Linked DNA regions of Saccharomyces cerevisiae S288C. The gene in region 4 interacts genetically with the main gene of each other region. Each region holds a gene or a part of one and is shown on either strand. Other genes may lie near its edges.

Evidence for each region.
Region 1: mutations in SOD2 (region 4) and ISU1 together harm fitness more than expected from each alone (negative genetic interaction), as found in Saccharomyces cerevisiae (2 studies listed by BioGRID).
Region 2: mutations in SOD2 (region 4) and FUM1 together harm fitness more than expected from each alone (negative genetic interaction), as found in Saccharomyces cerevisiae (2 studies listed by BioGRID).
Region 3: of SOD2 (region 4) and GIS1, changing one suppresses a phenotype caused by changing the other (phenotypic suppression), as found in Saccharomyces cerevisiae (2 studies listed by BioGRID, with this or other methods).

What each region holds. Positions count from the first base shown.
Region 1 is NC_001148.4:294,584-301,294, reverse strand, and holds ISU1 (iron-binding protein ISU1), read right to left. Parts: upstream 3,743-6,711; coding exon 3,245-3,742; downstream 1-3,244. Other genes in the region: gluconeogenesis transcription factor RDS2, read left to right, coding at 67-1,407; ODC1 (mitochondrial 2-oxodicarboxylate carrier), read left to right, coding at 1,792-2,724; protein phosphatase regulator GIP3, read left to right, coding at 4,648-6,711. UniProt on the Saccharomyces cerevisiae protein: Scaffold protein for the de novo synthesis of iron-sulfur (Fe-S) clusters within mitochondria, which is required for maturation of both mitochondrial and cytoplasmic [2Fe-2S] and [4Fe-4S] proteins.
Region 2 is NC_001148.4:44,362-51,848, forward strand, and holds FUM1 (fumarase FUM1), read left to right. Parts: upstream 1-2,974; coding exon 2,975-4,441; downstream 4,442-7,487. Other genes in the region: KEL3 (Kel3p), read right to left, coding at 190-2,145; YPL261C (uncharacterized protein), read right to left, coding at 4,635-4,943; CUB1 (Cub1p), read left to right, coding at 4,942-6,597; APM1 (Apm1p), read right to left, coding at 6,883-7,487. UniProt on the Saccharomyces cerevisiae protein: Catalyzes the reversible stereospecific interconversion of fumarate to L-malate.
Region 3 is NC_001136.10:631,358-640,323, forward strand, and holds GIS1 (histone demethylase GIS1), read left to right. Parts: upstream 1-5,781; coding exon 5,782-8,466; downstream 8,467-8,966. Other genes in the region: aminophospholipid-translocating P4-type ATPase DNF2, read left to right, coding at 1-4,763; mismatch repair ATPase MSH6, read right to left, coding at 8,752-8,966. UniProt on the Saccharomyces cerevisiae protein: Transcription factor involved in the regulation of gene expression upon nutrient starvation. Recognizes and binds to the post-diauxic-shift element 5'-T[AT]AGGGAT-3' in the promoter region.
Region 4 is NC_001140.6:120,842-127,710, reverse strand, and holds SOD2 (superoxide dismutase SOD2), read left to right. Parts: upstream 1-4,120; coding exon 4,121-4,822; downstream 4,823-6,869. Other genes in the region: 60S ribosomal protein eL27 RPL27A, read right to left, coding at 219-598, 1,160-1,190; TDA3 (Tda3p), read left to right, coding at 2,031-3,602; YHR007C-A (uncharacterized protein), read left to right, coding at 4,946-5,161; ERG11 (sterol 14-demethylase), read left to right, coding at 6,028-6,869. UniProt on the Saccharomyces cerevisiae protein: Destroys superoxide anion radicals which are normally produced within the cells and which are toxic to biological systems.

The DNA.
Region 1 (6,711 bases), on a different chromosome or scaffold from region 4:
TGAGATAAAGTTTTTTTTAATTTTAATCAACACAAAATACACATATTTATATAAACTGACGAAATAATGTCAGCAAACAGTGGTGTAAAACGAGCCAGTAAGGCTTTTAAAACATGTTTATTTTGTAAACGGTCACATGTTGTATGTGATAAGCAACGTCCATGTTCTAGGTGCGTCAAGAGGGATATTGCCCATTTATGCAGGGAAGATGATATTGCGGTTCCAAATGAGATGCCATCACAGCACGAAAGTTCTCCGAATGATAATAATATACAGGGCAAATATGCAAATAAAGCACACACTGGAATTCCGTCTGACTATCAGAATGAACCAGTCAATAAAAGTGGATCCACATATGGAGAGGAACTGTCACCGAAACTAGACTCCTCTCTTGTAAATGATACAACCAGCTTGCTGCTTCCGCAACAACCTGTATTTGTGTCCGAGAATGTTGGTTCGGAATTCAGTTCTTTGAATGAATTTCTTTCTATGCTAGAAAATCCTCTATTGACTCAAACATCACTAAGTTCCAGCAGTGCGAGCAATGTTCATTTGGAAAATGGCTCACAAACCACACAATCGCCATTAGAGTACCAAAACGACAATCGTAGGGATGAAATAGGAGTGGCAAGACAAGAAAATAGGTCGCCTACTATTATGTCAGGTTCTTCCAATAGTATCTCGAAAGGGGATAAACAAGATCAAGAAAAGGAAGAGTCTCGAATTCTAGCGAATGCAAACGAAAACAGTGCACCGACACCGAAGGAACAATTCTTTTTAACAGCGGCGGATCCGTCAACAGAGATGACACCAGAACACCGGCTGAAGTTGGTCATAAATGCGAAGCTTGAAGCAGGATTATTGAAGCCGTATAATTATGCCAAGGGGTATGCAAGACTACAAGACTACATGGACAAATATATGAATCAGTCTTCCAAGCAAAGGATTCTGAAACCACTATCCACCATTAGACCGGCGTTTAGAACCATTGCGCGTTCATTGAAGGATGTTGACTTAGTTTTAGTGGAGGAGAGCTTCGAGAGGATGTTATTATCTTATGATCGTGTTTTCACCTCTATGAGCATGCCAGCGTGCTTGTGTAGGCGTACCGGTGAGATTTACAGAGCCAATAAAGAGTTTGCTTCACTGGTTGACTGCACAGTCGATGATTTACGCGATGGAAAGCTTGCGATCTACGAGTTGATGACAGAAGAAAGCGCTGTGAATTTCTGGGAAAAATACGGGTCCATAGCGTTTGATAAGGGTCAGAAGGCTGTTTTAACAAGTTGTAGTCTTCGAACCAAAGATGGAATCCGCAAACGGCCATGCTGTTTTAGTTTCACTATCAGAAGGGATAGGTACAACATCCCAATTTGCATCGTCGGGAATTTCATCCCTTTGTCATAAGCATAAGTAATACATAGTAGGTAATTGGTATTTCCAGCGTCATTAAAAAGCAAAGTAACGGGTTTACTTTTTCCTCAAGCCGCTGGCCCGAGCAGTTACTTGAAATAGCCGTATTACTACGAGCAATACGAAGACCTTTTTCTACCAGCATTTGTTTTTTTTCAAATCATTCCCATTATTACCCCAGGATCTTTTCATAATGCGGCGACCAGAGATAGGGAAAAAAACTGCGAACTGGCTGAATCTGATTTGGCGAAGGGCAGATTCTCGGGTATTTCTGTGAGGGTGACCGCCGTTGATATATATCAGTGACTTTTGGGAACCTTTATCTCATTTATTCTCAAGATAGAACTGTAACGAGGGTGAAAGAAAAAGAACTGTAAGATGACATCTATAGATAATAGACCTTTGCCGTTCATATACCAGTTCACAGCCGGTGCCATTGCCGGCGTCTCGGAGCTATTGGTGATGTATCCATTGGACGTGGTGAAGACAAGAATGCAATTACAAGTGACAACCAAAGGTCATCCCGCTGTTGTTGCAGCGAAAGCAGCAGTAGATCACTACACGGGCGTGATGGATTGTCTTACAAAAATTGTGAAGAAGGAAGGATTTTCGCATCTTTACAAGGGTATCACATCGCCTATATTAATGGAGGCTCCGAAAAGAGCAATTAAGTTCTCCGGAAACGATACATTCCAAACGTTTTATAAAAAGATTTTCCCCACGCCCAATGGGGAGATGACTCAAAAAATCGCCATATACAGTGGTGCGTCCGCTGGCGCCGTGGAAGCCTTTGTCGTCGCGCCTTTTGAACTAGTGAAGATTAGATTACAGGATGTGAATTCACAGTTCAAGACACCCATTGAAGTTGTAAAGAATAGTGTTGTGAAAGGTGGTGTTTTGTCACTTTTCAATGGGTTGGAAGCCACTATCTGGAGACACGTTCTTTGGAATGCCGGTTATTTCGGTATAATATTCCAAATTCGGAAGCTTTTGCCGGCGGCTAAAACAAGCACGGAAAAGACCAGAAATGATTTGATCGCAGGTGCTATTGGTGGCACTGTCGGGTGCTTGTTGAATACACCATTTGACGTGGTAAAATCTAGGATCCAAAGAAGTTCCGGGCCGCTGAGGAAGTACAACTGGTCCCTGCCTTCAGTGCTGTTAGTTTACCGTGAGGAAGGGTTTAAAGCATTGTATAAGGGATTTGCGCCAAAGGTCATGAGACTTGCCCCCGGTGGTGGGTTATTGTTGGTAGTTTTCACGAACGTCATGGATTTTTTCAGAGAAGTCAAGTATGGTAAAAAACAATGATCCTGACGCTTTTTATTTCATTTTGTTGTAGCCCGCCCATACATGTATACGTATATATATATATATATTTATTGGAAGTAAAAGTAAAAAACTCGCTTACCTAGCACATGTTTAAACAAGCGTTGAAATGAAGGAAATAATGAAAGTCTAGTTTTGTCTAGCGATAAATAGTGTTAATTAAAACAGCCTTTTACAACTAAAGAATATTTATATAATAATGATGCCATATACCACACATGGGAAAACAAATATATAAGGGGGAAGTGGGAGGATGAAAAAAGAGTAATGAAAATACTAGTAGTACCAGGTGAGGTAAAACAAGCACGTCCGTCCCGCTTTCACCCTGGAGAAATATATCTAGGAAGATATGCATGAGAAGAGGGAGAGAAAGGAAATGCTAGATTAAGGGAAAGAAATATGACAATATTAATGAGAAACATCCATGCTTGCACAAATTAAGTCCAACTTGTTGATTAGTGAGGGTTTGATCTTGTTCTTGTCCCGGTTATCTTCTTATTCATTACGATAACATGGTTGGAGTGTTTCTCTTAGATTTGTAGTCCTTAATAGCTGCCTTGATCGCATCTTCCGCTAACATAGAGCAATGCAACTTGACTGGGGGCAAGCTCAACTCCTTAGCAATTTCAGTGTTCTTAATTTTTGCCGCATCGTCCAAGGTCATCCCCTGTACCAATTCAGTCATATATGAAGAGGAGGCAATGGCGGAGCCACATCCAAAAGTTTTGAATTTGACATCTTCAATAACGCCAGTAGAGTCGTTGACTTTGATCTGCAACCTCATCACATCACCGCACGCTGGCGCACCCACTAGACCAGTGCCGACGTTGGGCAATTTTTTATCTAATGAGCCGACGTTTCTTGGATGTGTATAATGCTCTATGACCTTGGGATGATAAAGCCTTTTCGTTATGCTGGACGCTCTCAAAACCCCCATGGCATTCACAGGTCTGATGGCCATCAGAGCAGGCCTTGCAAATCTCGTTATAACAGGAAGCATCAGGTTAAATATGTGTTATGTGTTGTGTTTTCCTTATTCAATTGTTATATGAAGGGATGTTCTTATGGATTTAAGAATAATCTCTGAACACAAATATATATGCGGAAGAGCGAAGGAAGAGAGCAGAAAAGGCTACAACGAAACCCTTTCATTTACTTATATAAATAGCCTGAGTCATTTTTCCTCTCAATTTTTGCATCATCATGATCATACATGCTTTTTTTTTCCTTCTCCATGGCTAATTGGGGTGCAACGCACCTTATCGCCTTTGACGGCCTTGGCTAAGCGGAGATAAAGCCTCCGAACTTCGGCCCCGAAGGGATTGGCGCGGATATACACGGAAATAGCTTGTCATTTTTCCTTCGGTTGATGTCCGCGGACCGAGAAGTGGTGTTTCCACATTACGTCTCAGTGATGCAATCATCATGGCACGGGCATTAATTAAGGTTAAGGAACCACTTCTCTACGCCATACTCCAAACAATAACAATATTAGACCTAGCCAATTGATACCCATGAGCGTGCAGTCATTGCCATGGATTATTCATCTCTTTTCGCTGTTCTCTTTCTTTTCAAGTTTGTCATCATCATGCCTTCACTTTTGCCTTTCCATCTTTCTTTTTGCTGCAAAATAAAGGGAAGAGGGGTAAAAACGCAAGGAAGAACAAGAAGAAGAGGGTAGTGCAAGAAAAAGAAAAGAAGAAAAAAAAAAAAAAGTAATCTTGATACCGTGAGCAAATAAGCTAACGGAAAGCGTAAGAAAGAAGAGCGTGTTTTGGGAAATAACACCACAGCATAAAGCTAAAATTCAGTTTATATAATCTATAGTAGTCCTATAGAAATTGCGAATAACGGAAACAATAGTCCACCAAAGCAAGCATAGGGAGTGGAGATAGCATCTAGGTTATGATAACTAACACCGAGTTCGATGTGCCCGTAGATTGGTTGTATAAAGGTAAGAGTAGACGGAAGACAAATACGAAGCCATCGAGGCCTTCTACGTCGCCAGCCTCCTCTTCATCTACGTCCTCTTCGAAAAACGGAGACAATAGCACGAGTGGTAACAGGTCTAGCAATGATAAGCCTCGTGCGAGGTCGTCATCTGTATCCAATGCAGCACTTTGTAATACTGAGAAACCAGATTTGAAGAGGAACGATGGTAATACCTCTGCATCAGACACTGATAACATACCGCTACTTACTCCTATTAATAGCGGTAACCGGAGCGATTCCGCTGACATTGATAATCCGGCTACCGTAGACGCCATAGACCTTATAGATAATGATGACAACGGCTCAAGTACTCAATTTGTAAGGAAAAAACGTTCCACTTCTATATCCAATGCTGTGGTCTCGTCCAAACCAAGACTGGCCAGTTCTGCCATAAACGCCACCGCATCTTCTTCTGTTGGCAAGGGAAAGCACCCGCCAATTTCTTCACCATCTAATGCTACTCTCAAGAGAAGCAACTCGACTAGTGGAGAAAAGACTAAAAGGTCGATTTTTGGATCTTTGTTTAGCAAACGGTCTACCTCTTCTTCAGCTTCCACTGCCAAGAAACCATTACCTGTTGTTAATACTAGCACGACTGAGAATGAGTCTGGTGGCATTAAAGCAGTTGCGACTCCTGATCCACGGGTGAAGGAGATATCATCACCAATGAGAGGAGTGGCACCAACAGCTAGCAAGCCACAGACACCTATACTCCCCTCCCCTGCACTTGCAGTAAAAGACCTATCTACAGTTTCATTGAAAAGGGTCTCGTTTGCCGTCGATAAATTCGAATCCGATCCTCCCCAACAACTTCCTTCAAGAACCCCAAAAAAGGGAAACATCCTTATCCCTGATGACATGATAAGCGAGGTTCCTTCTATTTCCGTGGGTATTTCCAGTAGCAACCAATCGGCCAAGTCAACCAATTCCAACATTAAGGGACCGTTGTACACTAAGAAGTCTAAAGAATATATACTCGCCCTGGAAAATCAAAAGTTGGCTTTAAGGGAGGCTGCTAAGCATCAGCAAGAAGCTCATTTTGCTGCTAATAGAATAGCCTTTGAAGTAGCCAATTTTAAGACTGCTTCGGATGCAGGCGGTAAGCTTACTGAAAAGTCATCAGAAGGCACCATTACGAAGCAAAGAGAAGAGGTGTCACCTCCAAATGTTGAAGCTGATCGGGAGCTTGAGAATAATAAACTTGCAGAAAACCTCTCAAAAGCCGGCATTGATAAGCCCATTCATATGCATGAGCACTATTTCAAGGAACCTGATCAAGATAAGTACCAAGACGGTCATTCTATTGAAAATAACGAAGTTACGCTGGATGTTATTTACACAAGATGCTGCCATTTAAGGGAAATTTTACCCATTCCGTCTACCCTAAGACAAGTAAAGGACAAGACAGCTCCCTTGCAAATATTGAAGTTTTTGAACCCTAAGCCTACCTTGATCGATATTCTTTCCTTTTGTGATTTCATCACCATTGCTCCCATTCACACGATTGTTTTCGACAATGTAGCTTTAAACCAGGATATGTTCAGAATAATTATTTCTGCTTTGGTAAACTCCACAGTTTTGGACAAATTGAGTTTAAGAAATGTACGAATCGACCAAGATGGATGGAAATTACTATGTAAGTTCCTTTTGCTAAACAAATCACTGAACAAGCTCGACATTTCCCAAACGAAAATCAAATCTGACCTTGCTGAATCACTATATCGCCATAACATGGATTGGAACTTGTTTACTGACGTCTTGTCTCAGAGATCTCACAAACCTATAGAAGAATTGTTATTCAATGGTATTCAATTTAGCAAAATTCCTTACTCATGCTTTGCACGTTTACTGACATCCTTTGCTACCCAAAAAAACTTTCCAGAATCGGGCATCAGGCTTGGTTTAGCAGGTGCCACTACTTCCAATATCTCTCAGGATTGTCTGAAATTTATCTTCAATTGGATGTCTCAATATAAC
Region 2 (7,487 bases), on a different chromosome or scaffold from region 4:
ATTCTACTTTTCTGTTGGGGCAGCTTTCGTGAATGTAATAATGAGATAATTTTCCCTGTCTCCTTTGTTTTTTTTTCCAGATGACTCAATTAGTGACTAAAGAAAAGGATGCCATATGGAAGACAGATATCTATAAAAAAAAAAAATGCTATAAATACTTTTTAAACTCAACTACAAAAGCGAAAATGTTTACCTTCTTTTGGAAGGTTTAGTAGTCGTATCTCTTTCAATGATTCCGCCTGTATCCTCCAGACGCTCTTCCTCAAGGGTCACCTGATCTCTTCTTTCCCACCAACGGTCTTCACATAACTCAAATGACTTCGTCTTTAACTGTTTACCCTTAAGGTTTCTGTTGTTAGAAATAGACCAGGTTAAGAAATTTGCACCTTCCCTTAAGTAGAATGCTCTTAAAGTTTCGAACGGTTTTGGGTGTGGTAGCCAAGACCTTTCGTCTGGAATCTCCATCTGCGCTTGTTTGTCATCGTCGCTCTCGCTTTCCTCATCTTCATCACCTTCAAGGGGTCCTGCATCTTGTTCCTCTTCGCCGTCGTCCTCATCCTCCTCATCGTCCTCGTATTCAAACTCATCTTCGTCCGAATCTCTATCACCTAGTCTCTTTGCTTCTTCGATGGCAGATAGGTCTTCCCAGTAAACCTTGACACCATCCAACTTGTTCAAATCTATACTATAAAATGAGTTTATAGGATAATCTTTTTCGCCCAGTTCCCAGACACCACTGTAAATGAACAACGAGTCGCCCACTACACAAGTTGCTGCGTTAAATCTTGGGTGAGGTAATTGATTTGAGATGGTAATATCTTCTTGGTTGTCCAAATCACTGTCATCTTCGTTATCTTCGTCGTCATCGATAGAGTTAGGACCCGTTGTGCTGTTGTCATCATTGTCATCGTCGTCGTCATTTAGATTAGACTTGGCCAGAATGGAATTTAGTAAATCCTGCAGTTCCTTTTCTTGATCTTTATTAGATTTTCTTTTACTTGTGGCGGGTGAATTTTTACTATTCGTTTGACGCTGAGGTTTAATTCTAAGTTTAGACCATTTGTTCAACTCTAGGTGGAACATATATAGGTCGTTATAGAAAACGGACTCTAAGGATTCCTCTGTCTCTTGTAAATCGTAGACACCACCAAAAGCAACGGACTTGTTTTGCTTCCATAGATTGAACGAATACCCGACTCTTGGTGAGGGCTGGTTCTTGAAATTCTTTAATTTTTCCCACTGCCACTTCTTTGGATCAGGCGTTAAGTTCAGTTTCCATGCATCATTCAAGATTTTTCCCTTCATTAAATTTTTATTATTTTTGGCAATGATTTTACAGTAACCACCCATTAATATGGCAGAATTATCTGTAGGAATGAAACAATGACCCGATCTAGCGTCAGGTTTGCTGTTTGTCTCCAATTTGGTCCATTTGTAGGTTGAGATATCAAAACACCACAAATCATTTAGGTAAGAAGTTTGACCATTCCCCAAATCTCTAAATCCACCAAATAATATGAAATAGTTTTTCCAAGCAATAATTCTATGACCTGATCTGGCGCTGGGTGAAGAGTCTCTACCGCCAAACTCCAACTTAGTGAATTTCCTTTCAACGCAGTCAAACAGCCATGTATCAGAATAGTGGTAGAATTTAGATTGTTTTGGGGACGAAAATTCACCACCGTGTAACAGTGCTATTCCGGAAGGATGCACAGCGACAGCGGCACTGGATCTGGGCAAAGGTGCATTTTGCGAAACGTATTTTTTCCAAGAGTTGTTCTTTATGGAGTATGAATACAAATCATTATAGAAATGTGTTAGTTTGGTTTCTGGATCTGTAAATTCACCACCGAAAATGAACAATTCATGTTTATTGTGTTGCGGATTTGCAAACATCAACGGATGAGTACGACAAGAGGGTTTTTCCACAGAAGTGATGTCTACATGCTCTAATTCAATTTGCTTTTTGCTAAAGCTAGAGAGAATTTCATCGAGATCTTGATCACTTTCATCATCTTCTTCGCCGTTTAAAGACTTATTCTTGTTCTTCTGAAACTTTTTCTCCTGCTTTTTTTGGTTTTTCTGATTCTTCAGTTCAGCACGTGCCTTTTTGGCCTCTTTATCCTTCTTATTCTTCTTTGCCATTAATCACTTCTACGAGTCTAGTAGATCTCTTCTCCTTCCTATAAGTGGTTAATGTATTCTTCGAGAAGCTCATCATTTTTTTTTTTCATTTTTTTTTTTTTTTTCAGTTTTCTACAATTTCATCAAATCAATGGTTAAACCGGGCAGAAAAACTACCAAGCGTTACTTTTACTGATGTTAGTACTACTACCGCAGTTATTGCGACTACTACATTAACTATAACTATACAAGAAAAAAAGTAAAGAGGGCTCGTAAAGCAAAGCTTGGTATCTCCTACATAGTCAATACATAGTAGTGAGTCGCCTATAGCCATTCTGTAATGCCATTTGTTAAGACGTGTCCTTAAACCCTTCCGAATCGCCGCGGGCGACATCATAATGTCAGTACCTAATAATGGTTATTATTCGTACCCTGTGGTTAGAGAGCTATGGAAGCTAGCAGTAAATGTCTCTAGTTCTTGCTATCACTACCATATTGGAGAGGCTTCAGGCCCCTCCCCTGAGCCGATCCTCGGAATGACTACCCCGATTCCCGGAATGGGCGTTCGATGATTGGCTCTTTCCTGTAAAGCCTTTTTGCGTTTCTTATAGGCTATATATAATCTTCATCACTGTTGTAGACGTTAAACAAGCATCCAACAGGAGGCCGGACCGAACACACGGGGGAGTGACTCTAGCTCTTTCTTCTGGGATATTCATATCGTTTCTCCATTACATACAGTCATTTTTTTGCATTTTTAAATTCGTGACTTTTAGTACTGCAGCTGTTTTTTTTCTCACGTCAAGAAATTCCATAAAGTCTAACTATTAAACGGATAAGAGATACAATCATGTTGAGATTTACCAATTGTAGTTGCAAGACTTTCGTAAAATCGTCATATAAGCTTAATATAAGAAGAATGAACTCCTCGTTCAGAACTGAAACCGATGCATTTGGTGAGATACACGTGCCTGCTGATAAGTACTGGGGTGCCCAAACTCAAAGATCCTTTCAAAACTTCAAGATTGGTGGCGCTCGTGAAAGAATGCCATTGCCTTTGGTGCATGCATTTGGTGTTTTGAAGAAATCTGCCGCGATTGTGAATGAGTCTCTGGGGGGATTGGATCCCAAGATCTCCAAGGCTATTCAACAGGCCGCTGACGAAGTGGCTTCTGGTAAGCTAGACGACCACTTTCCATTGGTTGTTTTCCAAACGGGTTCCGGTACCCAGTCTAACATGAATGCTAATGAAGTTATTTCCAATCGTGCCATTGAGATCCTAGGAGGCAAGATTGGATCTAAACAAGTCCATCCAAACAATCATTGCAACCAATCTCAATCATCCAATGATACTTTCCCCACTGTCATGCATATCGCTGCCAGTTTGCAAATTCAAAACGAGTTGATACCTGAGTTGACCAATTTAAAGAACGCCCTTGAAGCCAAATCCAAGGAATTTGACCATATTGTGAAGATCGGTAGAACACACTTGCAAGATGCCACGCCTTTGACACTAGGTCAAGAGTTTTCCGGTTACGTGCAACAAGTTGAGAACGGTATCCAAAGAGTGGCACATTCTTTGAAAACATTGAGTTTCCTGGCACAAGGTGGTACTGCCGTTGGTACAGGGTTGAACACCAAGCCCGGATTCGATGTCAAGATAGCCGAGCAAATTTCCAAAGAAACTGGACTAAAGTTTCAAACCGCCCCTAATAAGTTCGAGGCTTTGGCTGCTCACGACGCCATTGTCGAATGTAGCGGTGCTCTAAACACCCTTGCTTGTTCTCTTTTCAAAATAGCGCAAGATATAAGATACTTAGGGTCCGGGCCACGTTGCGGCTACCATGAACTAATGCTGCCAGAGAATGAACCAGGTTCCTCAATCATGCCTGGTAAAGTTAACCCAACCCAAAACGAGGCATTGACTCAAGTGTGTGTGCAAGTCATGGGTAACAATGCAGCTATCACGTTTGCCGGCTCTCAAGGTCAATTCGAGTTAAATGTCTTCAAGCCAGTCATGATCGCCAATCTATTGAATTCGATCAGGTTAATTACTGATGCCGCATATTCATTTAGAGTGCACTGTGTTGAAGGTATCAAAGCCAATGAGCCTCGTATTCATGAGTTGTTGACTAAATCTTTAATGTTAGTCACCGCTTTGAACCCTAAGATCGGTTATGATGCCGCTTCCAAGGTCGCCAAGAATGCTCATAAGAAGGGCATTACCTTGAAGGAAAGTGCATTGGAATTGGGTGTATTGACTGAAAAGGAATTTGATGAATGGGTTGTTCCTGAACACATGCTAGGTCCTAAATAAACGAGCTAAATACCTAATAATATACAAGTTTTTTATGTCTTATTATATGAAGGAAAATAAGGAAGTGGAGAGAATTTGTGATTCAGCAATGGTCCCTCCGCTAAGGTCCCGCCTCTGGCCAGTTATGTCAGAAGAGGAGCATAGGCATACATTCCATTTTTGATGGCTTAATGGGGCCCATAAATTTACATCACTACATTATTATTCCTATACAAGTTATAATAAAATAGTTCATAAATGAATATTTTGCGTCATTTTTTAATTTCTTGTCGTCGGGTAAGGGACCTAGTATTACCCGCATCACGGAAAGGGGAATTTTCAGAAATGATAACGAATAAGAGAGTACACCAGAAGAGCAAATCTCTTTAAGAAGTTTAGCAGCAAATATCGGTTTAAAAACAAACAAAAGCAAAGGAAAAGAACTACTAAATCTTCGAGGACTTTCCCAATTTTTAAAACGCTGAAATTGTATTAGAAGAGAATAACTGTCTAAAAAGAGCATGTTTGCATCCGCTGGACAACAACACCCTCAAATTGTTCCTAAGGAAGAGGAATCCATATTAAACTACCTCCTTGAAGTGAGATCCTCCTTGGCTAAACTCAAGCAAAATAGGACCCAGTATTTGAACTCTAAGGATGTCCAAACTACTTACCAACACGTCTTGACCAAAGTCAGAGAGTTGGACGATATTAGGAAGAATAGTCATGAGACGCCCGCTAAGAGCGCCGCCACCCTGATTCATAGTACTGAATTGCATAATAGAGTTGACTCCGTACTGGATGATGTCTTTCAATTGCTCTCGTTGTGTTTTTTAACTGTTGGGCTAAAAAATTCTGCACCTGCGACTTATGCATCGTTATCTACTGTGGAGAGTCTTTTGGAACATTTAAATGAATCAAACGTCTTCACCCATCACGATTTGAGTCCTATTAAGGAAAGGCTGGAAGAAATCAGCAAGATTGTCGAACAAAAAAACTCTAGTCCTGCGTACGATGAGGATGGAAATGATGACCGATTAAGGGAAATCGACAACGAAAGGAAAAAGAATAAAATTGAGGAAGACCTATTACTACGTGCTAAATTAAAGCATTGCAAGGACGAATATGATATATTGGAAGGCAAATTGGAGGAAATTGATCCGTCTTTGTCTACTGTAATGGAAAAGTTATTCCGAATTAGAAGAGGTTTATTGTCATTAGTTGCATCTGCTAAAAAAACAATGTCTAAATCTGATATTAATACCAACTCTTTATTGCAGGAACAAAATGATTTGCAAACGAACAATGAAAGCTTAACGGATGACAAACATTTAGTATCTCAAGAGTATGTCCATGAGAAATTATCAGTTTTGAAGAACGAATTAAGTGAATTAGAATCTAATCGTGACGATTCTGGTAAATTCAAGTCCTTGGAGTCTCATCAGGTGGCAGAAAAAGGCCAAAGTGTCCTTAATGGTTTATTGGATGATTGCCATGATTTAGTTAACGATTTATCACACCAAAAAAATGGCGGGTTGACTTTAGATCCATATTTACAGCCAATATATGAACAGCTGATTGATATAAAGACTACCTTAGAAAATTTAATGATCACAAGAAGATGGACTTTGAGAGAAACCGATTTATTTTCTTACCAAAAAAAATTGAACGAAATTGATAACAAAAGAATCAATGGTAAGTTTCCAACAAAATCTCAGGACTCAAAGGGGCAATCAATACTTTTATACCTGTTGCGTAGATGTTATGCCATAATTTATAAACTGTTGGAAAGTTCAGAGCCCGTATCTGAAGCGTTGCAGCCAATTCACAATCAACTATCTACAGTTCGTCGTTGCCTATTAGAATTGAAAAGAATGGGAGGTGTGAATAATGAAAGAGAGTTATACCCTTATCAAATGAAATTGGCTTCATTGGACAACCTGAGAACTGAAGGTATATTCTATGACTCTGATGGCAATATACCTGAAGGCCAAGGTATATTGAATGCTTTATTAGCAGAATGTTTTGATATCTTGCATGAATTAAAAGTGGAAGCCGAGGAAAAAGCACAGAACTCTACTTCAAGTGATGGTTCTGACGACGATGACAACGGAGAATCAGGCATAGACTCGAACTCAAACGACAGCGAGCCTGAATCTGAATATCAACAGGAATAGAGGAGAGTGTTTCTTTATCTTCCATTTCTCCCTATTTTCTTGGTAGAGGAAAACATTATAAACAATAAAATGAAATACAGAAAGAAAAAAAGTTATTCTCTTATGTCTATGTATATAACAAACCCTGAATGAGCATCTATATAAAAACAAAAATATATAAACAACTTTATGTCATTATCATAATTGTCAATGGGAGGGGGGAGAAAAAGAGGAATAAGGACATACGTACCCTGTGTCTTTGTCCATGCACCGTAGAAATTGCTTTTTTTATATATTTTTCAGACATTACGTCAGCCTTATTGTATAATCATCACCACTTTGCGTGATATATCTTACCCATGGGTAACTCTTATACTGCAATTTGGGTTCGTTAATTTTAAGATAACGTACTTGAATACCTGAAGTAGTAAAGTAGGGTATTTGAAATTTGATTTGGACAGGTCCCTTCAAGATTTCCGCGTTACTTTTTGGCATTGTTCTATTGCCATCCTCGTTATTTGATATTGAAGGCAGTCCCAATTCGGCAGACATTGAGTACTCTTTACCACCGGGAAAACTTCTTATTTTCCATAAGATTGCACTTTTTTCAGGGACATACTTTAGAGACCCGTGTGAATATTTAAAAGTCGGTGTATCCGCGTCGTCCGGGACCGGTATCAATATCTCTACATTAGTTGCAGTAGATTTTCTTTTAATTTGGGCCTTGGCCTTACAGTGAATTTCAATTCTAGAATTCGAATGAACTTGAACGTTTACATCACACCAAATTAACGGTTTTATCGTAGTAGATAGTCTGTAGTTCATTAAATCGAACTTTCCATCAGGAGGTATAAACGTTATAATTTTTTCATTCTCGAATTTGCTTAATCGGACACATTGATGAAATTTCA
Region 3 (8,966 bases), on a different chromosome or scaffold from region 4:
TGTCGTCCATGTCACCATTTGACGATAGTTTTCAATTTGAAAAACCCAGTAGTGCGCATGGAAATATTGAAGTAGCGAAAACCGGCGGTTCTGTTTTGAAGCGACAATCTAAGCCAATGAAAGATATTAGCACACCCGATCTCTCAAAAGTTACTTTTGATGGAATCGATGATTATAGTAACGATAATGATATTAATGATGATGATGAACTCAATGGTAAAAAAACCGAGATACATGAACACGAAAATGAGGTGGATGATGACCTCCATTCGTTCCAGGCAACACCTATGCCTAATACTGGAGGCTTTGAGGATGTTGAGTTGGATAACAATGAAGGTAGCAACAATGATTCCCAGGCAGATCATAAGTTGAAAAGAGTACGTTTTGGTACAAGAAGAAATAAGTCAGGTAGGATAGATATAAATAGGTCAAAAACATTGAAATGGGCCAAGAAGAACTTCCACAATGCTATTGATGAATTCAGTACAAAAGAAGACAGTCTCGAAAATTCAGCCTTGCAAAATAGGTCTGATGAGTTGAGAACAGTTTACTATAATTTACCCTTGCCGGAGGACATGCTTGACGAGGACGGCTTACCGTTGGCAGTTTACCCGCGTAATAAAATCAGGACTACGAAGTATACTCCATTAACATTTTTTCCCAAGAACATTCTTTTCCAATTTCATAATTTTGCCAATATTTACTTTTTAATACTGTTGATTCTAGGTGCTTTTCAAATATTTGGTGTGACAAATCCAGGTTTTGCATCCGTTCCCCTAATTGTCATCGTAATTATCACTGCTATTAAGGATGGTATCGAAGATTCCAGAAGGACTGTATTGGATTTAGAAGTTAATAATACAAGAACACATATCTTAAGCGGGGTGAAGAATGAAAATGTTGCTGTTGATAACGTTTCCTTATGGAGGCGTTTCAAGAAAGCGAATACAAGGGCATTGATTAAAATTTTTGAGTATTTTTCAGAAAACCTCACTGCTGCTGGTAGAGAAAAGAAGTTACAGAAAAAAAGGGAAGAATTACGAAGGAAGAGGAACTCGAGAAGCTTTGGGCCACGTGGGTCTCTGGATTCAATTGGTAGTTACAGAATGTCTGCCGACTTTGGTCGTCCCTCTTTGGATTATGAGAACCTGAATCAAACAATGTCACAGGCTAACAGGTATAACGATGGTGAAAATTTAGTTGATCGAACGCTACAGCCAAACCCTGAATGTAGGTTTGCCAAGGATTACTGGAAAAATGTTAAAGTTGGTGATATTGTTCGTGTTCACAATAACGATGAAATTCCTGCTGATATGATCTTATTATCGACATCAGATGTTGATGGCGCTTGTTATGTGGAAACCAAAAATTTGGATGGTGAAACAAATCTAAAGGTCCGTCAATCATTAAAATGTAGCAAGATTATTAAGAGTTCAAGGGATATTACCAGGACGAAGTTTTGGGTTGAAAGTGAAGGCCCACATGCCAACTTGTATTCTTATCAAGGTAATTTCAAATGGCAAGATACACAAAATGGAAACATCAGAAATGAGCCTGTAAATATCAATAACTTATTATTGAGAGGTTGTACCTTGAGAAACACTAAGTGGGCCATGGGTATGGTTATTTTTACTGGTGACGATACCAAGATTATGATAAACGCTGGTGTCACTCCAACCAAAAAATCCAGAATTTCAAGAGAGTTGAATTTTTCTGTGATTTTGAATTTTGTACTATTGTTTATCCTATGTTTCACTGCTGGTATTGTTAACGGTGTTTATTATAAACAGAAACCTCGATCGAGAGATTATTTTGAATTTGGTACCATTGGAGGTTCTGCCTCAACTAACGGTTTTGTTTCTTTTTGGGTGGCGGTTATTCTTTATCAGTCATTGGTTCCGATCTCTTTATATATTTCTGTGGAAATTATTAAGACAGCACAGGCTATTTTCATTTACACTGATGTTTTGTTGTATAATGCCAAGCTAGACTATCCATGTACACCAAAGTCGTGGAACATCTCCGATGATTTGGGTCAAATTGAGTATATTTTTTCAGATAAAACAGGCACCTTGACACAAAATGTGATGGAATTCAAAAAATGTACTATTAACGGTGTGTCTTATGGACGTGCCTATACGGAGGCACTAGCAGGCCTGAGGAAGAGACAAGGTGTTGATGTCGAATCGGAAGGTCGTCGCGAAAAGGAAGAGATAGCAAAAGATAGGGAAACAATGATCGACGAATTAAGATCAATGAGTGATAATACACAGTTTTGTCCGGAGGATTTAACTTTTGTATCTAAGGAAATTGTGGAAGACTTGAAAGGATCCAGTGGCGACCATCAACAAAAGTGCTGTGAACACTTTTTGCTGGCGCTCGCATTATGTCATTCTGTCCTTGTGGAGCCAAATAAAGATGATCCTAAAAAACTGGACATCAAGGCTCAATCACCTGATGAGTCTGCCTTAGTTTCCACCGCCAGACAATTAGGGTACAGTTTCGTTGGTAGTTCAAAAAGTGGATTGATAGTAGAGATCCAGGGTGTTCAAAAGGAGTTCCAAGTTCTGAACGTACTTGAATTCAATTCGTCGAGAAAAAGGATGAGTTGCATTATCAAGATCCCTGGCTCTACACCAAAGGATGAACCTAAAGCACTGTTAATATGTAAAGGTGCGGATTCCGTTATCTATTCAAGATTAGATCGCACTCAAAACGACGCTACTTTGTTGGAAAAGACGGCCCTCCATTTGGAAGAATATGCCACAGAAGGTTTAAGAACATTATGTTTGGCTCAAAGAGAGCTCACGTGGTCCGAGTATGAACGTTGGGTTAAGACTTATGATGTGGCCGCTGCATCCGTTACTAATAGGGAGGAAGAGTTGGACAAAGTTACTGACGTTATTGAACGTGAGCTTATTTTGCTTGGTGGTACGGCCATTGAGGATCGTTTACAAGATGGTGTTCCTGATTCGATTGCCCTCTTGGCCGAGGCCGGTATTAAGTTATGGGTCCTAACGGGTGATAAAGTGGAAACTGCCATTAACATTGGTTTTTCCTGCAATGTTTTGAACAATGATATGGAATTATTGGTTGTGAAGGCTTCCGGCGAAGATGTAGAAGAATTTGGTAGTGACCCTATTCAAGTGGTTAACAATTTGGTGACAAAATACTTAAGGGAAAAATTTGGCATGAGTGGATCCGAGGAGGAGTTAAAAGAAGCTAAAAGAGAGCATGGTTTGCCACAGGGAAATTTTGCTGTCATTATCGATGGCGATGCGCTAAAAGTTGCTTTGAATGGTGAAGAAATGAGACGCAAGTTCTTGCTACTGTGTAAGAATTGTAAAGCTGTTTTGTGTTGCAGAGTTTCTCCAGCACAAAAGGCTGCAGTGGTCAAGTTGGTAAAAAAGACCTTAGACGTTATGACCTTGGCCATTGGTGATGGTTCGAATGATGTAGCCATGATTCAATCGGCGGACGTTGGTGTTGGTATCGCGGGTGAAGAAGGCAGACAAGCTGTCATGTGTTCTGATTATGCCATCGGGCAGTTCAGATATGTGACAAGACTGGTATTGGTGCATGGTAAATGGTGTTATAAGAGACTGGCAGAGATGATCCCACAGTTTTTCTACAAGAACGTTATTTTTACGCTATCCCTGTTCTGGTATGGTATTTACAATAATTTCGATGGGTCGTATTTGTTTGAGTATACGTACTTGACATTCTACAATCTTGCATTCACATCCGTACCTGTTATTTTACTAGCAGTACTCGACCAAGATGTTTCCGACACCGTTTCGATGCTGGTGCCACAGTTGTACCGTGTGGGTATCCTAAGAAAAGAATGGAACCAAACCAAATTTCTTTGGTACATGTTGGATGGTGTATACCAATCTGTGATATGCTTCTTTTTCCCCTATTTGGCGTACCATAAAAACATGGTTGTAACTGAAAATGGCCTTGGACTAGACCACCGTTACTTTGTCGGTGTCTTCGTTACAGCAATTGCAGTCACTTCATGTAACTTTTACGTCTTCATGGAACAGTATAGATGGGACTGGTTCTGTGGCCTATTCATATGTCTATCACTGGCCGTGTTTTACGGCTGGACGGGTATATGGACAAGCTCGTCGTCAAGTAACGAATTTTACAAGGGTGCGGCGCGTGTATTCGCACAACCTGCCTATTGGGCAGTACTTTTCGTTGGCGTGCTGTTCTGCCTACTGCCAAGATTCACCATTGACTGTATCAGAAAGATATTCTATCCGAAAGATATAGAGATCGTTAGAGAAATGTGGTTACGCGGTGATTTTGACCTCTACCCACAAGGCTACGACCCTACGGACCCTAGCAGGCCCAGAATAAACGAAATACGTCCCCTTACAGATTTCAAAGAGCCCATTTCACTGGACACTCATTTTGATGGTGTCAGCCACTCACAAGAGACCATAGTCACAGAGGAAATACCAATGAGTATACTCAATGGTGAGCAAGGCTCGCGCAAGGGGTACCGTGTCTCTACCACTCTGGAACGCCGTGACCAGCTCAGCCCCGTTACAACAACGAACAACTTGCCTAGAAGATCAATGGCCAGTGCCCGCGGAAATAAGCTCAGAACTTCGCTGGATCGCACAAGAGAAGAGATGCTTGCCAACCACCAACTGGACACAAGATACTCCGTGGAAAGAGCACGTGCCTCGCTGGATCTGCCGGGTATCAATCATGCAGAGACGCTGCTCAGCCAGCGCAGCAGGGACCGTTAATGATTACAATTTTTTTCTTCCTTTGTACTATGTATACCAATGTGATATGATATAGATTTCATATAGGATGTGATGATGTGTATCACCCGGCACGGCTCTACCCCGCCCTGTGGGGTGTGGAGAAAACGCCGCGCAGAGCCTTGAGTAGGAAGGGGCTGGGTTCTCCCCTTCCTGCCGGGGTCCGCCCGGCGCCAAGAGTAAGAGAGCGAAGCCGGAGACGTAATATGAAAAAAATTTTGAGGGGAAAGGGCGTCCGCAAGGGCAAGGGCAAGGGGAAGGGGTGGCGTTTTGTGCTTCAAGGAATTATATTTCGTTGTTTTCCGCACTATGGCGGCATTGTGGCAAGTAACTACTTTACGGAGAAAGACTAGAAAATGGTTACAACTGCCACTATTACCGCTTCGCATTCTCTTGTCTTACAGGTCCCTTGAATTGGCATTTACGTTTACATCCGATCCGGTTTTTCACCAAAGAGAAAGGAAAGGAAAGGTAAAAATAGCAAACCGAAAAAGAAAACAGTATTTTCTCTCTGTTTAGGATTATTACCACTACTTACTGAAGAGAAGTTTTTAACGTTTATCGTTTGTGTTGAGGTAGAAGTACAAACGCGTGTGTGAGTTGTGTATTTGAAATTATTATCCTTCTACGCATATCGGGAAAAAGTTAACGGAAAAAACAAGAAGAAAACCTCCCCCCTCCTCCTCCCGCCATACAGAAGGCAAAAGAAGTTGGTCTGTTAGGAAGAAAATAGCCAAGTAATAATACGTTTGGCCAGTTGTATTTTTTTTTTGTTTCGCTAAGTCTCTTGCTTACAGAAACTCTTTGCCCACCACATATTTCATCGTTTTTCCTTTCTGTTCATCATTAACCTCCATTTCCCAATTTTTTCCAATTTTCAATTTTTTTCACTATTTGTTTCTTTGTTGGGCGTTTAAAAAGTATTTGCTTCTACAAAGTGAACAACATCGTTGTAATTTTTTTTTTTTAATTTGAAGAATAGCTACAAAAACAGACTACAATGGAAATCAAGCCAGTTGAGGTTATTGATGGCGTTCCGGTTTTTAAGCCGTCTATGATGGAGTTTGCAAATTTCCAATATTTCATTGATGAAATTACTAAATTCGGAATAGAAAATGGTATTGTCAAAGTCATTCCTCCCAAAGAATGGCTGGAGCTTTTAGAAGGCTCACCTCCTGCGGAAAGTTTAAAGACTATACAACTAGACTCCCCGATTCAACAACAAGCCAAGCGATGGGACAAACATGAAAACGGTGTATTTAGCATCGAAAACGAGTATGACAATAAGTCGTACAATTTAACACAGTGGAAGAACTTGGCCGAAAGTCTAGACTCTCGAATAAGTCAAGGTGATTTTAATGATAAAACTTTAAAGGAAAATTGCCGCGTAGATAGTCAGCAGGATTGTTATGATTTGGCACAGTTACAAATTTTAGAAAGTGATTTTTGGAAAACCATCGCTTTTTCGAAACCTTTTTATGCAGTGGACGAAAACTCTTCAATTTTCCCCTATGATTTAACTTTATGGAATTTGAATAATTTGCCAGATTCTATAAACTCAAGTAACAGACGGTTACTTACTGGTCAGTCTAAATGCATTTTTCCATGGCATTTGGACGAACAGAATAAATGCTCTATAAACTACTTGCATTTCGGTGCTCCCAAACAATGGTATTCCATACCGTCCGCAAACACAGACCAATTTTTGAAAATTTTATCAAAGGAACCATCAAGTAATAAGGAAAATTGTCCAGCTTTTATTAGACATCAAAACATCATAACTTCTCCCGATTTCTTGCGAAAAAATAATATAAAATTTAATAGAGTGGTGCAGTTCCAACATGAATTCATCATTACTTTCCCTTATTGCATGTACTCCGGATTCAATTATGGTTACAATTTTGGCGAATCTATTGAGTTCATATTAGATCAGCAAGCTGTCGTTAGAAAGCAACCTTTAAAATGCGGCTGTGGAAACAAGAAGGAAGAGCGAAAATCTGGTCCGTTTTCAAATTTATCTTATGATTCTAATGAGTCGGAGCAACGAGGCTCCATTACTGATAATGATAACGATTTATTTCAAAAAGTTCGAAGTTTTGATGAATTACTAAACCATTCCTCTCAAGAGTTACAAAATTTAGAAGACAATAAGAACCCCTTGTTCTCCAATATTAATATGAACAGACCGCAAAGTAGTTCTCTTCGGTCTACTACCCCTAATGGTGTAAACCAGTTCCTGAACATGAATCAAACTACCATAAGCAGAATTTCTTCCCCGTTGTTATCAAGGATGATGGACTTATCAAATATTGTGGAACCCACTTTGGATGATCCGGGTTCCAAGTTCAAAAGGAAAGTTTTAACTCCGCAATTACCGCAGATGAATATTCCGTCTAATTCTAGTAATTTTGGCACCCCTTCTCTAACTAATACAAACTCCTTACTATCTAATATAACGGCTACATCAACCAACCCATCGACAACTACAAATGGCAGCCAAAACCACAATAATGTTAACGCCAATGGCATTAACACCTCTGCAGCCGCATCTATCAATAATAACATTAGCAGTACCAATAATAGCGCTAATAATAGTAGTAGTAATAATAACGTTTCCACTGTGCCTTCTTCAATGATGCATTCGTCCACTTTAAATGGGACTTCAGGTCTAGGCGGCGATAACGATGACAATATGTTAGCTTTAAGTTTAGCGACACTGGCTAACAGCGCTACTGCGTCACCAAGATTGACGTTACCGCCGCTGTCGTCACCAATGAATCCGAACGGCCACACCTCATATAATGGCAATATGATGAACAACAACAGTGGTAATGGTAGCAACGGTAGCAACAGCTATTCTAACGGTGTGACTACGGCTGCTGCCACAACTACATCAGCGCCTCACAATCTATCCATAGTGTCCCCTAATCCAACATACAGTCCGAATCCCCTATCTCTTTATTTGACCAACTCCAAAAATCCATTAAATTCAGGTCTTGCACCCTTATCACCTTCAACATCTAACATCCCATTTCTCAAGAGGAATAATGTGGTTACATTAAATATTTCAAGAGAAGCTTCAAAGAGCCCTATATCTTCTTTTGTAAATGACTATAGATCTCCGTTGGGTGTAAGCAATCCACTCATGTATTCTTCCACAATCAACGATTATTCAAACGGTACTGGAATTCGCCAAAATAGTAATAATATTAATCCCTTAGATGCAGGTCCATCTTTTTCTCCTCTCCACAAAAAACCCAAAATACTCAACGGTAATGATAATAGCAATCTGGACAGTAATAATTTTGATTACAGTTTCACGGGTAACAAGCAAGAATCTAATCCATCAATCTTGAACAATAATACTAATAATAATGATAACTATCGTACATCTTCAATGAACAATAACGGCAACAATTATCAAGCGCATTCTTCTAAGTTCGGTGAAAATGAGGTCATTATGTCAGATCATGGTAAGATTTACATTTGTCGGGAATGTAATAGACAGTTTTCCTCTGGTCACCATCTAACAAGACATAAAAAGTCAGTTCATTCCGGTGAGAAACCCCATTCTTGCCCAAGATGCGGTAAAAGATTCAAGAGAAGAGACCATGTTCTGCAACATTTAAATAAAAAAATTCCATGCACTCAAGAAATGGAAAATACTAAATTAGCTGAATCATAGGTCAAGAAAATGATATACAAAATGGGTTCAAAAAAAATTTTTATCGAATATTTTCCTGTAATAATATTGTTTCTTTTAGAAAAATTTTGGTTTTCTATAATATATTTATTCTCCATGTTTTAATTTTCTCAGCTATTAATGTTCAACTTATTCCTTATAAATTTGTCATTCATTTTTCATATATATCGTTAATATATAATCTTTGCCTGTTCTGAATCCTTTTTCAACGACCAAAACTTTAAAAAAAATAAGTAAAAATCTTACATACATCGTAAATGAAAATACTTAGGATTGTAAATCATCAATTATACTAAATAGACTTTTCAAAACGTTCCTTTTTATGTTCCAATCATAGTTCAAGACCCCTTCACCAGAACCTAATTTTGTATTCTTCAGTCCATCTCCGTACGCAATTCGAACGAAATCACTTTGTAAGCCACCTGGCACAGAGACAACTTCACCATTCAAATTATTTGCAGCTAAATCACGTTCTTTGACTA
Region 4 (6,869 bases):
ATTATATATTATCGTTCCCCTTTACCGCGTTATGATTCGTTTTGTCGTTAAGGTTGAAAACACCAGCAAACAATTTTTTTGAAGAAAAACCCCATTTGCGTATACTTATATGTAGATATATTTTATTAATATTTAATCATTGTTTACATACATTAAATATACATATGTTGATATTACTAATAATTTTTTGATTTTTGGTTGACCATAATGCAATTCTCTTAAAATCTCAACTTAGAGAAGAACCATTGGTTCTTACCAGCTTGGTGTCTTTCTTCGAAAGCCTTCTTGACGACTTTCTTAGCTTCTTCACGTTGGGAAGGTTGTTCGAAAGTTTCAGTAGAAACAACGGATTTGAAAGCTTCAACATCTAAAGTGTATCTGGTTGGCAATAAATGGTTGTAGTTGACGACCTTGATGAAAGGCTTGATCTTGGTTCTCTTAGCAACCTTCTTGGCACCGTGCTTCTTGGTGACCTTCAATGGGTATCTTTCAATACCGGCAACCAAAGCGTGACCAAATGGGTGAGACTTGGAACCTTCATCATGTGGTTTAACGATAACAACCTTCTTACCGGCGTAACGACCACGGACAACGACAGCTGTGTAAAAAAAGGAAGGAAAAGAAATAGTTAGTAAATGTGAACCCTTCTTAAAGTTTGGCGAATTCTCAATTTTGTTCTTCAATACTAGGGAGAGAAAAATTATCATAGGCCCACGAATTTTTAATAGGGCATGGAAAGAACTACAGTAAATAAAAGGCCCTGGTCGCCTGCGTACATGTGCCTATGGTCTTAGCAAATATATCGCGGAACTTTCACCATCTTATTTGGTGGCTATTGATGCTTTTTTCTTTTAAATTACAACTTTTTGATAACCCTTCCACTGCCTCGTATAGCTCAATGAATATGAATAATCGTTAGTTTCGCTCCTAAATCATTCATCTTTTTGTCCAATATTTCTATTAATAAGCTATCATTCAAATTTAAAGGTTTTTTCCCAGATCTAACATCTCCACGCTTTTTCCTCCCTACTCCCATATGAAGATACAATACTCGAATTCAAACTCAAATTATACAACATCAACTGCTAATAACTTGGATTTCTAATACCACAGTTGCACGGTTTTTTGTTGATGTCCAAAAACTGAAAATGATACGTACCAACTTTACCAGCTTTCAAGAACTTAGCCATTTTTTTCTTTGGTTATGCTTTTGTTTTAACACGTTGAGACTATCTAAGAAATTCTAAAAATCTAATATATCTTTAATTTTAGCTCAAAACTACGGCAGTATGTTTTACATGAACGAACACTTTACTAGTGAAAAGAATTTCAGGAAACCTGCCTTCGGGCGAATCTCTGCAGCAAGAGCGTAGGCGGAGCTCTGCTGGAAAGACTTTGTCTCAGACAGTTCTGTCGTGATGGGAGAACTGAGCGGATCACTCCCATTAGTTTGAGAGGAACTTCTCTCCGCAGCCTTGATTCTGCCTCGGGACTCCACCTGGAATATTGTTATCGGCTCTTTCAAGAAATACAGGACTCATAAGGTGAAAAAAAAAAAAACAGTGTAGGTGCAACAGCAAAAAATGTAAAGATGTAGGTGTACGGATGCATTAACGTCTTTCGAGGCCCTTTCCATTCTTCCGTGAAAAATATTCACTGAACGTATAATATGAGACGGTTCCGTCCGAGTCCCCTTAGCTGGAATCGTGTAAGCCAATTTATCAATACATGCAGCCTTGGTGCTTTTGTGCGTCTATCCCCTACATGCATAAGATTACGTATGAATGAAAAAAGCACGACATAGAAGTGAAACCATATCTGTAACCTGGCACACGTACTACAAAAGTTATATTGTTCCTTTTTTTTTTTTTTTTTTTTCTATTGTTAAATCAAGACTTAAAAAAAATCAGCCAACAAGTAATTCTGTTTGATAGTTCAAGTCACTCAGCAAAAGATTTTCGTGCTCTCCAATACACCATCTAAGTATCAATAGCATTTTAACCAAGCAACAGAAGGAATAGTGTTTATAAATGGGTGAAGATTTTATGCACCCACCGTTTCAAACGTACCCTTCAAAGAACAGCGAAGGGAAAAAACATATTGTCATTGTAGGTGGCGGTATCATCGGTTGCTGTACTGCTTACTACTTGACCCAGCATCCAAGTTTCAGCCCTTCGACGCATCATATTACCATCATTGAATCGAGGCGCATTGCTGGAGGGGCTTCTGGTAAAGCAGGTGGCTTGCTTGCATCTTGGGCTTTCCCTCACCAAATCGTACCTTTAAGTTTCCAGCTACATCAGGAGTTGAGTGATGAATATGATGGAGAAAACAACTGGGACTACAGAAGATTGACGACTGTGTCCTTAGAAGCAGATGTTCGCGAAGAAGTCATTGAAAACTACGAAAGACTGAGCAAGAAGGCATATAATCTGAATGTCCCTCCTCCAAAGAAGAGACCGGGCTACATATCCAACAAGTTTAACATCGGGGACTCTAATTCATCTTTGAGTTCTTCGGGCTCTTCTTTGAAAAACGACTCCGCTAGTAACGAGGAAGAAGGATCAGACATTCATGTTTCTAGCTCAGTACCCAGTTTACACTCTCTAACAAATGAGCGCATGAGAAGCCACACAAATAGCGCATCTGATCTTGACTCTGTAAGTCCCGTGGAGCAACTGAGAGAGACTAATATCCATAATCCTTTGCCTGCTGATTTAGATTGGATAAGAAGAGAATTGGTTAATGATTGGTCATCACTAGGTGGTACTGATACCACAGCGCAGCTTCATCCCTATAAATTCACCCATTTCATCTTATCGAAGGCAATGGAAACAGGTGCTGTCGATCTTCTCCTAGGTAAGGTAGTTGGGCTAAAGTGTGACGAGATGGATTGTGTTCATTCTCTTAAGTACCTTCCATCTGTCGTCAAGAATCGCAGAAATAGCAGAGGGCATGCAGAAAATCCAGACATTAAGCTGGGTACAATCTTCAACGATGAGAACGCGAAGCCCATTGAAATCAATGACATCCAGCAGATTGTTTTGAGTATGGGACCCTGGACTTCCAAGATTCTAAAAGATTGTCCAATTTCTGGATTGAGAGCCCACTCTGTCACCATTAAGCCTAGTGAAAAGACAGTTTCACCTTACGCTATTCTTGCTGAACTAAAAGTTAACGACCGTGAATTTTTCTCCCCTGAAATGTATGCTAGAAAAGATGAAGTTTATGTGTGCGGCGAAGGCGACACTTTAGTCAATATACCTGAAAGTTCGGACGATGTGGAGGTAGTTTCGGAGAAGTGTGATGAATTGTACCATTACGTATCCAAATTATCGCCAACTCTATCAAAGGGCCATCTCTTGCGGAAACAAGCCTGTTTTTTGCCAGTTTTAAACGTTCCTACAAGTTCTGGTCCCTTAATTGGTGAGACAAATGTCAAGGATCTTTATATTGCAAGTGGACATTCTTGTTGGGGTATTAACAATGCGCCAGCAACAGGTAAATTAATGGCTGAGATTCTCCTTGATGGCGAAGCAACCTCTGCGGAAATCTCAAGTTTGGATCCAAAGTTATATTTCGACGCCACCATCCTTTCTTAATCAAGCCGAGGAGTAAAAAGGTCAAGAAAAGTATATGCACAAATTTGTACATATAAGAGCTTATTTATTTATATATTTAAAATTTCTGAGGCCATTTAATGTGTATATATTTAACGAATACCTAAATCTATATATTTCTTTTTTTTTTTTCTCTCTCTCTCTCTCTTTCTCTTTCTCTCTTGGCGTCTATCCTGTTTGCCCTTGCGCATGCTACCGATTGCACGTGTAGTATTCTACTTGAGGTTGAGCTGATTACTAATTGCTATTATCATTGTTGGCGCGACCTTAAACCTGGACCAATAACACAGGCCGAACCACTAGCTTCGCAAAAAAAAAAGTAGGGATGTGCCGAAAAATTTCCGCGACCGTAGCAGACACCCCTGATGAAGAAGCTATAACTTGTATATAAGAGCGTTGCATCCCCAAAATATACAAGCTAGCTACAGCGATTGCTTTTCACTTGCTGCTACAGGAACGAAACCCCAATTGATAACTATACCTCCTAAAAACGTACCAGGATGTTCGCGAAAACAGCAGCTGCTAATTTAACCAAGAAGGGTGGTTTGTCATTGCTCTCCACCACAGCAAGGAGAACCAAAGTCACCTTGCCAGACTTGAAGTGGGACTTCGGTGCATTGGAACCTTATATCTCCGGTCAAATCAACGAATTGCATTACACCAAGCACCATCAAACTTATGTGAACGGATTCAACACTGCTGTTGACCAATTCCAAGAACTCTCAGATCTTCTGGCCAAGGAGCCCTCTCCCGCAAACGCAAGAAAAATGATTGCTATCCAACAAAACATCAAGTTCCATGGCGGTGGTTTCACAAACCACTGTCTATTCTGGGAAAACCTGGCTCCAGAGTCGCAGGGCGGTGGTGAACCACCCACCGGCGCTTTGGCAAAGGCAATCGACGAGCAGTTTGGCAGTCTGGACGAGCTGATTAAGTTGACCAACACAAAGCTAGCAGGCGTGCAGGGCTCCGGATGGGCCTTCATTGTGAAAAACCTCTCTAATGGAGGCAAGCTGGACGTTGTTCAAACCTACAACCAGGATACCGTCACAGGCCCACTAGTTCCTCTAGTTGCCATTGACGCCTGGGAACACGCCTACTACTTGCAGTACCAAAACAAGAAAGCCGACTACTTCAAAGCCATTTGGAATGTGGTCAACTGGAAAGAAGCATCCAGAAGATTCGATGCTGGCAAGATCTGAAGAAAGAAAGAAAGAAAATACCTTTTTTTTTCCACTGTGTCGTTTTTATTCTAACTACTCTACTAAATCACACAACCACACTCCCCTATTTAATAATATATTTTACTATTAAAATACATATACATGCATCGTAAAAAAAGAAAAAAAGAAAAGAAAAGAACCGAAAAAGACAATACAACCAACCTTCCTCCACTTTTTCTTTTTCCTTGTTCTCTCTCGCTTCCTACGTTACTCGCGCCTGTGCACTACATTCCCACCAGATTAACTCACCACCAGGCAGAGAACCAATTGTTCTTGTTATTGTTCCAACCGATAATTGTAAAGCCATTAAGGTCGTAAACGACTGCTTACTCAGGGAGATCTCCGAAAACGGCAATTGCTGTGCACCGTGCGACGTTATGATCGCCGCCTGTCCCGTACAGACGAACAATTGCAACAATGGGCGGTTGTTTAGAGAGGTTTTGTGCCGCGCCCGGGAATTACCGGGGGCACAGCAAAATACGAAATTTCCGGCAAAATGTCTCTGTACGAAAATGAGGCCAGCCTTTATTCCCGACTAAGCCGTACGATTATAGTAATGTCACACGAAGTGGATACTATACGAGCAGCGCACATACAATGTGCGTGCAAGATTTGCCGGGTTGGACAATCTTAAAGGCCGATAATCCACGAAAAACGAGACAAACGAAGCGCTGGCCCTAAACGAAACGAAACGAAACTAAGATTTCAAGATAATCGCTTTTCAGATGACAATAGTCTCTTGCAGAACACAATAAGTGTGGTAGGTATCTTGCAGGAGACATCGATTTTATGCCTGAATTTTTTTTTTTTCTTGGTATGAGCACATCCTATTGTGCATCTCCACGAGTTAACGACGTTTACGTACTCGCATGTATTCGAAAAGCCTCTAAAAATTGCCCTCCATGTGTATTCATTATATAAGATAGCGTATTTTCCCTTAGTTTTCTTATTCCCTCTTAATTCTCTCTTTCAATGTCTTTTTTTTTTTCCCTTTTCCTTTTTCCCTTTTCGTTATTGGTAAATTATTTATAAAAAGATTGATAAGCAGTATCGTTCAGCGTGTGTATTTTCGATAGGAAGTAATAATTTTTCATTATATTAATTAATAGTTTCCAGAAAAAATTTTTTTTCCTTCACAATTGCAGCAGGCTTGAATAGAAACAGAACAAACGAGTAATACAAGGATGTCTGCTACCAAGTCAATCGTTGGAGAGGCATTGGAATACGTAAACATTGGTTTAAGTCATTTCTTGGCTTTACCATTGGCCCAAAGAATCTCTTTGATCATAATAATTCCTTTCATTTACAATATTGTATGGCAATTACTATATTCTTTGAGAAAGGACCGTCCACCTCTAGTGTTTTACTGGATTCCATGGGTCGGTAGTGCTGTTGTGTACGGTATGAAGCCATACGAGTTTTTCGAAGAATGTCAAAAGAAATACGGTGATATTTTTTCATTCGTTTTGTTAGGAAGAGTCATGACTGTGTATTTAGGACCAAAGGGTCACGAATTTGTCTTCAACGCTAAGTTGGCAGATGTTTCAGCAGAAGCTGCTTACGCTCATTTGACTACTCCAGTTTTCGGTAAAGGTGTTATTTACGATTGTCCAAATTCTAGATTGATGGAGCAAAAGAAGTTTGTTAAGGGTGCTCTAACCAAAGAAGCCTTCAAGAGCTACGTTCCATTGATTGCTGAAGAAGTGTACAAGTACTTCAGAGACTCCAAAAACTTCCGTTTGAATGAAAGAACTACTGGTACTATTGACGTGATGGTTACTCAACCTGAAATGACTATTTTCACCGCTTCAAGATCATTATTGGGTAAGGAAATGAGAGCAAAATTGGATACCGATTTTGCTTACTTGTACAGTGATTTGGATAAGGGTTTCACTCCAATCAACTTCGTCTTCCCTAACTTACCATTGGAACACTATAGAAAGAGAGATCACGCTCAAAAGGCTATCTCCGGTACTTACATGTCTTTGATTAAGGAAAGAAGAAAGAACAACGACATTCAAGACAG